Linked DNA regions of Nothobranchius furzeri. The protein of the gene in region 1 purifies or fractionates together with the protein of each later gene. This does not show direct contact. Links are inferred from orthologs where the notes say so. Each region holds a gene or a part of one and is shown on either strand. Other genes may lie near its edges. The genes, in order: pdpk1b and sdc2.

Region 1 (3,344 bases):
GTTGAATATGCAAGGGTGGAGATGCAAATCTTGTGAGGGTCAGATTTCAAAAGTTTTTTTTTTTTTTTTTTTTACTAAATCAAGAAATTGAACCCCAATTGTGAGTTCATCCTTAAAATTTCCTTTTTTGCAGCGAGGGCAAACTCCTTTGTTGGAACAGCACAATATGTGTCTCCAGAGCTGTTGACTGAAAAATCCGCCTGCAAGAGGTAGAACCGTTTGTGTTCTGGTTATTCAAATTTCAGGTTTCACTTCTGTAAGTGAATCATTCTTTTTTCTCCAAGCTCTGACCTGTGGGCCTTGGGATGTATAATCTATCAACTGGTGGCTGGTTTACCACCATTCAGAGCAGGGTGAGTACTGATGGGATACTTCTGTAATGGTATTGCAATGTTTCAAAGTGCTTCATGGCATACCTAAATGTTTTTCGAGACTTAATTTACTATTAAAATGTTTTCCTAAACACTTGTTTATTTTTTCTAAAGTACATCTGAAACACTTTGGCACCCACATTTAATCTGTTTCTCAGTGACCTCTTCTGTCACTGAGGTGGTTTGGTTAAGCGTCTGAGCCACACGGCGATTCTCGTGAATAGGAAGCTAAACTGGTTCTTTTCTTTAATTAAAACTAAAACGCAAGCTGTTTTTATACTGCAGGTGGTACAAATGTCCCTGGTAATAAAATGTTTTGGATGATCATTTTTAAGTCAGTTCTTCCAACGCATACGAACAATTCTGAACTTGATAGAGTTTTTAAAACCTTATCAGCAGGCAGGAACTGGTATTTAGGATTCATTTGTTTTGAAATTGTTGTGCAACAAGTGCTAAGAGCAAATTACTTGTTTTATTATTTAATTTGTGATTCTTCTTCTTTCTCACATTATAGAAACGAGTACCTAATATTCCAGAAGATAATAAAATTGGAGTATGAATTTCCAGAGAAGTTCTTCCCCAAAGCCAAGGATCTTGTTGAGCAACTTTTGGTCGGTTATCCACCACAGCCGTTTTACTTCTACCTCGGCCCCTTTGTTGTCTGGGGGCAGATGTGCTAGTTTTGGGGTTTTATTTAGTTGTTGTCTGATCTGTTTGCTCTTTAGTCACTGGACCCCTCCAAGCGGCTTGGATGTGAAGAGATGGGAGGGTACGGCCCACTGCAGCATCATCCTTTCTTCGACACCATTTCCTGGAGCGACCTACACCTCCAGACACCCCCTAAGCTTACGCCCTACCTGCCAGCTATGTCAGAAGATGACGAGGACTGCTATGGAAATGTAAGATATACCCCCCCCCAGTCCTAAGTAGTTTTTTTTTAATCATTCCTTTTATGCCTGGACCACACTGTACAATTTTCGGTCGTCTTAGCCAAATCATGCTCTGCTGGAGCGGGACGTCCTGCAGTCTGCCTACCTTGTACCGTAAAGCGTGCCATCTTTCTGGAGTCCTCACCGTGTGACATGAGCAATCCTGTGTGATGGCCAAAAAGCACACAGTGTGGTCCCGGCTTTAAGGACATTGCAAACTGTAAATCTGACTTTTGTTCTTTCATCCCTTGTTGCATCATGAATCTCAGTACGATGACCTCCTGAGCCAGTTCAGCAACATGCAGGTGGCCCCTTCACACTCCTTGTCGCCACTCGACCCCACACCGCCACAAAGATCCAGCAGCAACATTGAACAGTACATCCACGACCTGGACAACAACTCCTTTGAGCTAGATCTGCAGTTCACTGATGAAGAAAAGAAACTATTGCTGGACAAACAGACTACTGGGAACGCCTGGTAGTTTCCGTTTTTGTCTTGCTTTGAAAAGTTGTTTGCTGTCAGACTTGGCTCATCTTCAAGAAATGTGAAAGGAGTTATGATGGCTCAACCATGCACGCTTGTGTTTGTTTACACAGGCACCAGTTTGTAGAGAATAATCTGATCCTCAAAATGGGCCCAGTGGATAAACGCAAGGTCGGTGGGATTTCTATGTCTTATGATTAACTGTTTGCACAAGTCTGGCTTTAACCCTAAACTTTTATCAGGGAACTCTTTGCTCTGGTTGTTGAACCTCTTGCATTGTGCTGAGGAAAGCCCTACAGGCCCCGCGGCCCCCTCTGTTGGTGAACTCATGTTTTGAAATGTTTGCATTCCGTGCCAGGGTCTGTTTGCTCGCCGGAGACAGCTGCTCCTCACTGAAGGACCACACCTGTACTACGTGGATCCTGTCAACAGAGTCCTGAAAGGGGAGATTCCTTGGTCCTTAGAGTTACGCCCAGAGGCCAAGAACTTCAAAACCTTCTTTGTTCACACGGTAAACAAAGATTTATTTCGGAAGTCTTGCAAATATTTCTCCAGCAGCCTGCTCATACTTGCTCATTGTTTGGAGTCTCGTCACACATGTTTTTCTTTCTCTTTTGGTGTTTAGCCAAACCGAACATACTATTTGATGGACCCCAGTGGAAATGCAGACAGATGGTGCAAGAAGATCCAAGAAGTATGGAGAAAGATCTATCAAAGGCACCAAAACCCTGGCCTATAGGAGCACATTTCATCCTGTGCCCACTCCCTTTTAGCTCTGAGGCCAATCACTGAGCAGAGTAACACCCTCTTTAGTGCCCTTCATCACCGCATTGTAAACAAACTCTTAGAGACGCTGGCATCTAGATCTTGTTTGTTTTCCTGAGTAGATCCAGGGGAGAAACACAGCTTTGGATTCAGGGTTGCTTTGCTTGTTCTTTGTGCTCTCTGTGAGGCTTCTCTTGCATATTTTTTCCCATGTATGGATGACAAGATTTCCATTATTCACATCTGCATTTTGTACATTCTGCTTGGCAGGGACAGAGATGGGCAAGCTTGTCTTGTACAGTGACACAAGCTTGGGTACTGCTAGGACCATCCCAAATACAAAGACTGGTTTCCTGCTTCATCGATAAAACAAAATCTAGCTTTTATGAACTGGAGCCTGATTATATATCTTAATTAAACCATATCCATAATCATACACAATATGTGCAAGCTGTAGAAAAGCCCAACTTTTAGTGCGTGTACTCCATATTTGTAACAGATACTGTAAACTGATTCAGTTTCACCTTTATCCAACTCAAACCTCACTTTTGTCTGAACCCAATGCGTATTTAAGTTTTTGCTTTTTCATGTCCTTTTCCAATCTCTTGGTACTTGCTTATTGCAGTCCAGTAAAGGTGTCAGTGTAACGAAGCAGATCTGCAGTAAAGTTGGCCTGGACTAGCATGTAAGGGTGAGCCATTCATAGCTGATGCTGAAGATGTTTTTGTTAACGGGGCATAAACACGCCACTAGCTTGTTCTGCTTAAATCATCACTTGCTTATTTTTCCAGCATG
Region 2 (3,918 bases), on another chromosome or scaffold:
AAATGATCCCCTCTAAAGACGGAGCTGTGACCTTTGACTTTTACCTCTGAGATTCTGTCACAGCTCCCGGAGTTTCCACGCTGTCACCTGTTTGGTGTCATAGACCTGTCAGAGACCAGAACCATGAATGTGTTCCATTAAATCAGTCAAATCCAGACGTTCTGATCCATTAATAACCAACCGGACCGGATTCAGCCAGCTGAGTTCTGCTGGATCATGAAACTCGACCCGAGCGTCTAACCGCTGTTAGCTCACTCGTTCCTGCACCGTGAGTCACCGTCTGGGTCTGGACCCGGCCCGCTTTCTGTGGTCAGAGTTCAGACAGCCGAGCCTGCGATGTCAGAAGCAGCGGCGGCGGCTGGTGGAAGCCAGCCCACTGTTGGTCTCGTTTGGCTTTGATGTGGACCAGGCTGAGAGCTGGTCTTCACCCAAACATCTCACACTTCCTCATGGCCCACCTGGGATGTGGAGGCGGTCCAGGTCTAGACAGGACGGGACAAACTCCACCTTCTGAATATTCATGAGCTGCTGATTACAGCCCTGACATCAGCAGACTCAGGAAATTCCATGTGGAATTACTTCTGCGGGTCAGGAGTTCGGCTCCGGAGAACGGATCTGAACACTCAGCTGTTTCCTCTCGTGATGATAACCCGGATCCATCCAATGGTCATGTGACCCTGAGGTCATGTGACTCTAACGAACCGAACTTGAACATGCCACAGACCGTTCACTGAACATCTACTCCAAGCTAACTGGTTTACACTGGTTTGAAATCAACTGGTTTCTGCTGCCGACCAGAACCAGAGAACCAGGAGGATCTGTAGGAACCAATCAGAGAGCAGCATTTAGTCCAGCTTCATAACTAAGGAACGTTTAGATCCAGGAACTCTACTTCCCCTCTGGGATTAATAACGTATCTTTGAATTTTAATGTATTCTGTTAAAAATCACAGAACCGGGATCAGCGGGTCAGAACCAGAACCAGCGGGTCAGAACCAGAACCAGGATCGCTGCATCCGTTCTGGTGAACTGTCGGGTGTAAAGTATTCCTCCAGTGAGACGGAGATCAGCTGATGGGAAAACCAAACAGCTGCTTCCAGATGTTGACACGAACAAACAGGAGCCTTCGTCTCCGATCCGATGGAAAATAAAAGCTTCTTCCTCACAAACAAATGTAAACAAATGAGCAGGTCACCACAGCTGCTCCTCCTCCTCCTCCTGAAACAGGAGCAGTAAAACCAGGAGAACCTAACGAGTTTCTACTGCAGCAGTTCTCACAACATAATCAGAAGAAAGCATTAAACCGACCCGACACCAGAACCCAAACACACAGACCTGAAACACGCGAATAATCCCAACAAACAACAACAACAACAACCTGTTTGTGAGTCTGAGCGAGTCAGCAAAGGTTCCTGCCAAAATAAAAGCCTCCCAATCAGCATGACAGAAGGGAGGTGGGGGGATGGTGTGTGTGTGTGTGTGTGTGTGTGTGTGTGTGTGTGTGTGTGAAAAAGACCTACAGATTCAGATGGAGACCCAAATGGCTTCCAGATGTTCCATCTGAGCTGGGTTCTGGTTCTGGACCTAAAACCTAGAACTTGATCAGGTGTTGATTATTTATTTCACTTCCTGTTTGTGGTTGGGTGTAAATATCCCTTGTTTCAGATTGAGCGGTACCAGCGAATCGGACCTCATCATTGCCTCCCACCGTGCTCAGAGTCCAGTATCAGCCAAGGCAGACCAGAACCAGAACCAGAACACCTCTGAACCACTTCCATTACTGCCAGTTGGTTCTTCGCTGTAGAATAACCAAACAACCAGTCCGTGTGGGTTCAGGGCAGAACCGTACCATCTGGGTTGAGACAGAACCATCAGCCTGAAGTATAAACCCGGGGTCAAAGTTCACCCTGAGAGCTCCAGAGGGGACGCACCGCACCCAGATGATGTCACGAATTAGAACCATAGAGTCCGATGTGTTCCTCACTATTTAGAACACACACGCGCGCGCACACACACACACGTTCTGTGGAGGTGACTTCACATTCAACAGTGACATTAAAACATGGAATTAGATCTGAGGAAGAGGAGGCTCTGAGCAACAAGTCAGAGCATCAGTGATGAAGAGTAACACACACACACACACACACACACACACACACGCACACACACACAAGCTCTGTAACACAGCGCGTGCACTGCACACTGTTGTCACATTCTACCCACAGCAACTTAGACCCCCCCATACCCCCCCCCCCCCCCCCGTGTGAAGCCTGCCGAACCCCCAGTGGCTCCGCGGACCCGCAGGAACTTTTTACCGGGCCGCGGCTCCGGACTCACCGAGCCTCCGCAGAAGAAGCCGCTCAGCGCGACGCTCAGAAGGATCCAGCCGCTCCTCATCGTCGCTGCTCGGTTGAGGTTCGGGTCCGGTATTCCTGCAGCTCCCGGAGCTCCCGTTCCTCAGGGTCCACCGGATTCTGGACTCCTCCTCCTCCTCGCAGCTTTTCAGCTCGGAGAATCTGACTGAGACAAATGAGCGCGTGAGTGTGCAGATCCTCCGCAGCACAAATCTGCACGAGACACGTCGCTCGCTCCTTGTGCGCACGCACTGAGCACGAGCACAACCGTGCGCGCTCATGTGAGTTACAATCAGACGTAGGGGGAGTAGCGAGCACGAGCCAACAACAAGTAAACAAACAAAGTAAATGCAGAAGAAAGAAACATAAATAACCTGCTCCAATCAGCTGATCAGGGACAAGCTCCGCCTCATTAAACAACCGGCGGAAGAAGCGGCGCGCTGAGTGGGTGGAGCTTGTAATCCAACACCTCCTCTCAGGAGATAAACTCCTCCTCCGTGTGTATCTCCGCTTCCAGCCGGATCGCATCGCGGCTGAGCGAATAGGAGCGGACCCTGGTTGTGAGGCTGCCGTCGCACCATCACGGACAAAGTCTCCCCCTGCCGGTGAAAACCCGGAACTTCAGCAGAACCGGGTCAGCTGTAGGAGAACCTAAAACAGGTTTTCATAAGGAGCAACCCACCCTGGACCTTCACCAGTCTGCCTGCAGAACCAGCAGAGGATGCCATGTCCCCCCCCCCCCCCCCCCCCCACACACACACACACACCGGTCTGCTACATCTGGAACAGCAGGAACACACACATGCTGATGGTGGACTAACTGTTCTGTTCCTCAGCCTCCTCCACAGAGGCAGAGAAGCTAAGATGACCGAAGACCACCTTACTACAGATCTGCTGCTCGCGCCGCAGTGTGTGTGTGTGTGTGTGTGTGTGTGGTACAGCAACTGTACTCCCTAAGAGAAAAAAGCTCTTCACAGGGTCATCAGGGCTGGACCCTCCTCACCCTGAAAGACACCAACATCTCCTGTTGCTGCTGGAGAGCTACGAACATCTCACAGGACCATCACACCCAGGGCAGTGCCTCTTCCAGCTTCTGCCACCAGGGCACAGATCCATCATGGTTACCCAGGAGCAACCACGGCTCGGAACCGCAGGAACCATCCTCCTGATGGACACAGAGGAGGAACCTGCAGAGAGTCCTTACACACCTGTCTACTCTGGACCATATTCCTCTGATCCTGCCTCCAGCAGGTTAAGGTGTGACTTTCTATCCTGTGGAGCCAGAGAGTTTCCATGGTAACCACATTCAAACACATTCCTCTAAAGTGGTAAACTTTGTTATCATTGATCTCCAGTTTCGGGTACATCCTCCTGACTGAGTAGATCCTAAATAACTCCACTTGTGGAGCAGCTGATGTGTTCAGCATCCGTTACCATGGAAACCTGACTTTAGCTTCCACATATCCCGTGGGAGGAGACCTGAACTTGTTTAGGAAGCTCAGCTGGACAGGCAGTGGCTCTCATCAGGAGACGGAAAACCGAGTTCAAACCTTAAGAGAAAAAAA

The links.
Region 2: the proteins of pdpk1b (region 1) and sdc2 purify together in Homo sapiens (affinity purification with mass spectrometry; 4 studies listed by BioGRID and IntAct, counting the BioPlex papers as one, with this or other methods). This does not show direct contact. The link is inferred for Nothobranchius furzeri from reciprocal best matches to the Homo sapiens genes PDPK1 and SDC2.

The regions. Positions count from the first base shown.
Region 1 is NC_091756.1:32,805,234-32,808,577, forward strand, and holds the end of pdpk1b (3-phosphoinositide-dependent protein kinase 1), read left to right. Parts: intron 1-133; coding exon 134-209; intron 210-284; coding exon 285-353; intron 354-885; coding exon 886-982; intron 983-1,096; coding exon 1,097-1,270; intron 1,271-1,569; coding exon 1,570-1,778; intron 1,779-1,897; coding exon 1,898-1,955; intron 1,956-2,142; coding exon 2,143-2,295; intron 2,296-2,409; coding exon 2,410-2,523; 3' UTR 2,524-2,752; downstream 2,753-3,344. UniProt on the Homo sapiens protein: Serine/threonine kinase which acts as a master kinase, phosphorylating and activating a subgroup of the AGC family of protein kinases.
Region 2 is NC_091759.1:26,362,092-26,366,009, forward strand, and holds the start of sdc2 (syndecan-2), read right to left. Parts: upstream 2,765-3,918; 5' UTR 2,728-2,764; intron 2,591-2,727; exon of another isoform or gene 2,520-2,590; 5' UTR 2,397-2,519; coding exon 2,337-2,396; intron 1-2,336. UniProt on the Homo sapiens protein: Cell surface proteoglycan which regulates dendritic arbor morphogenesis.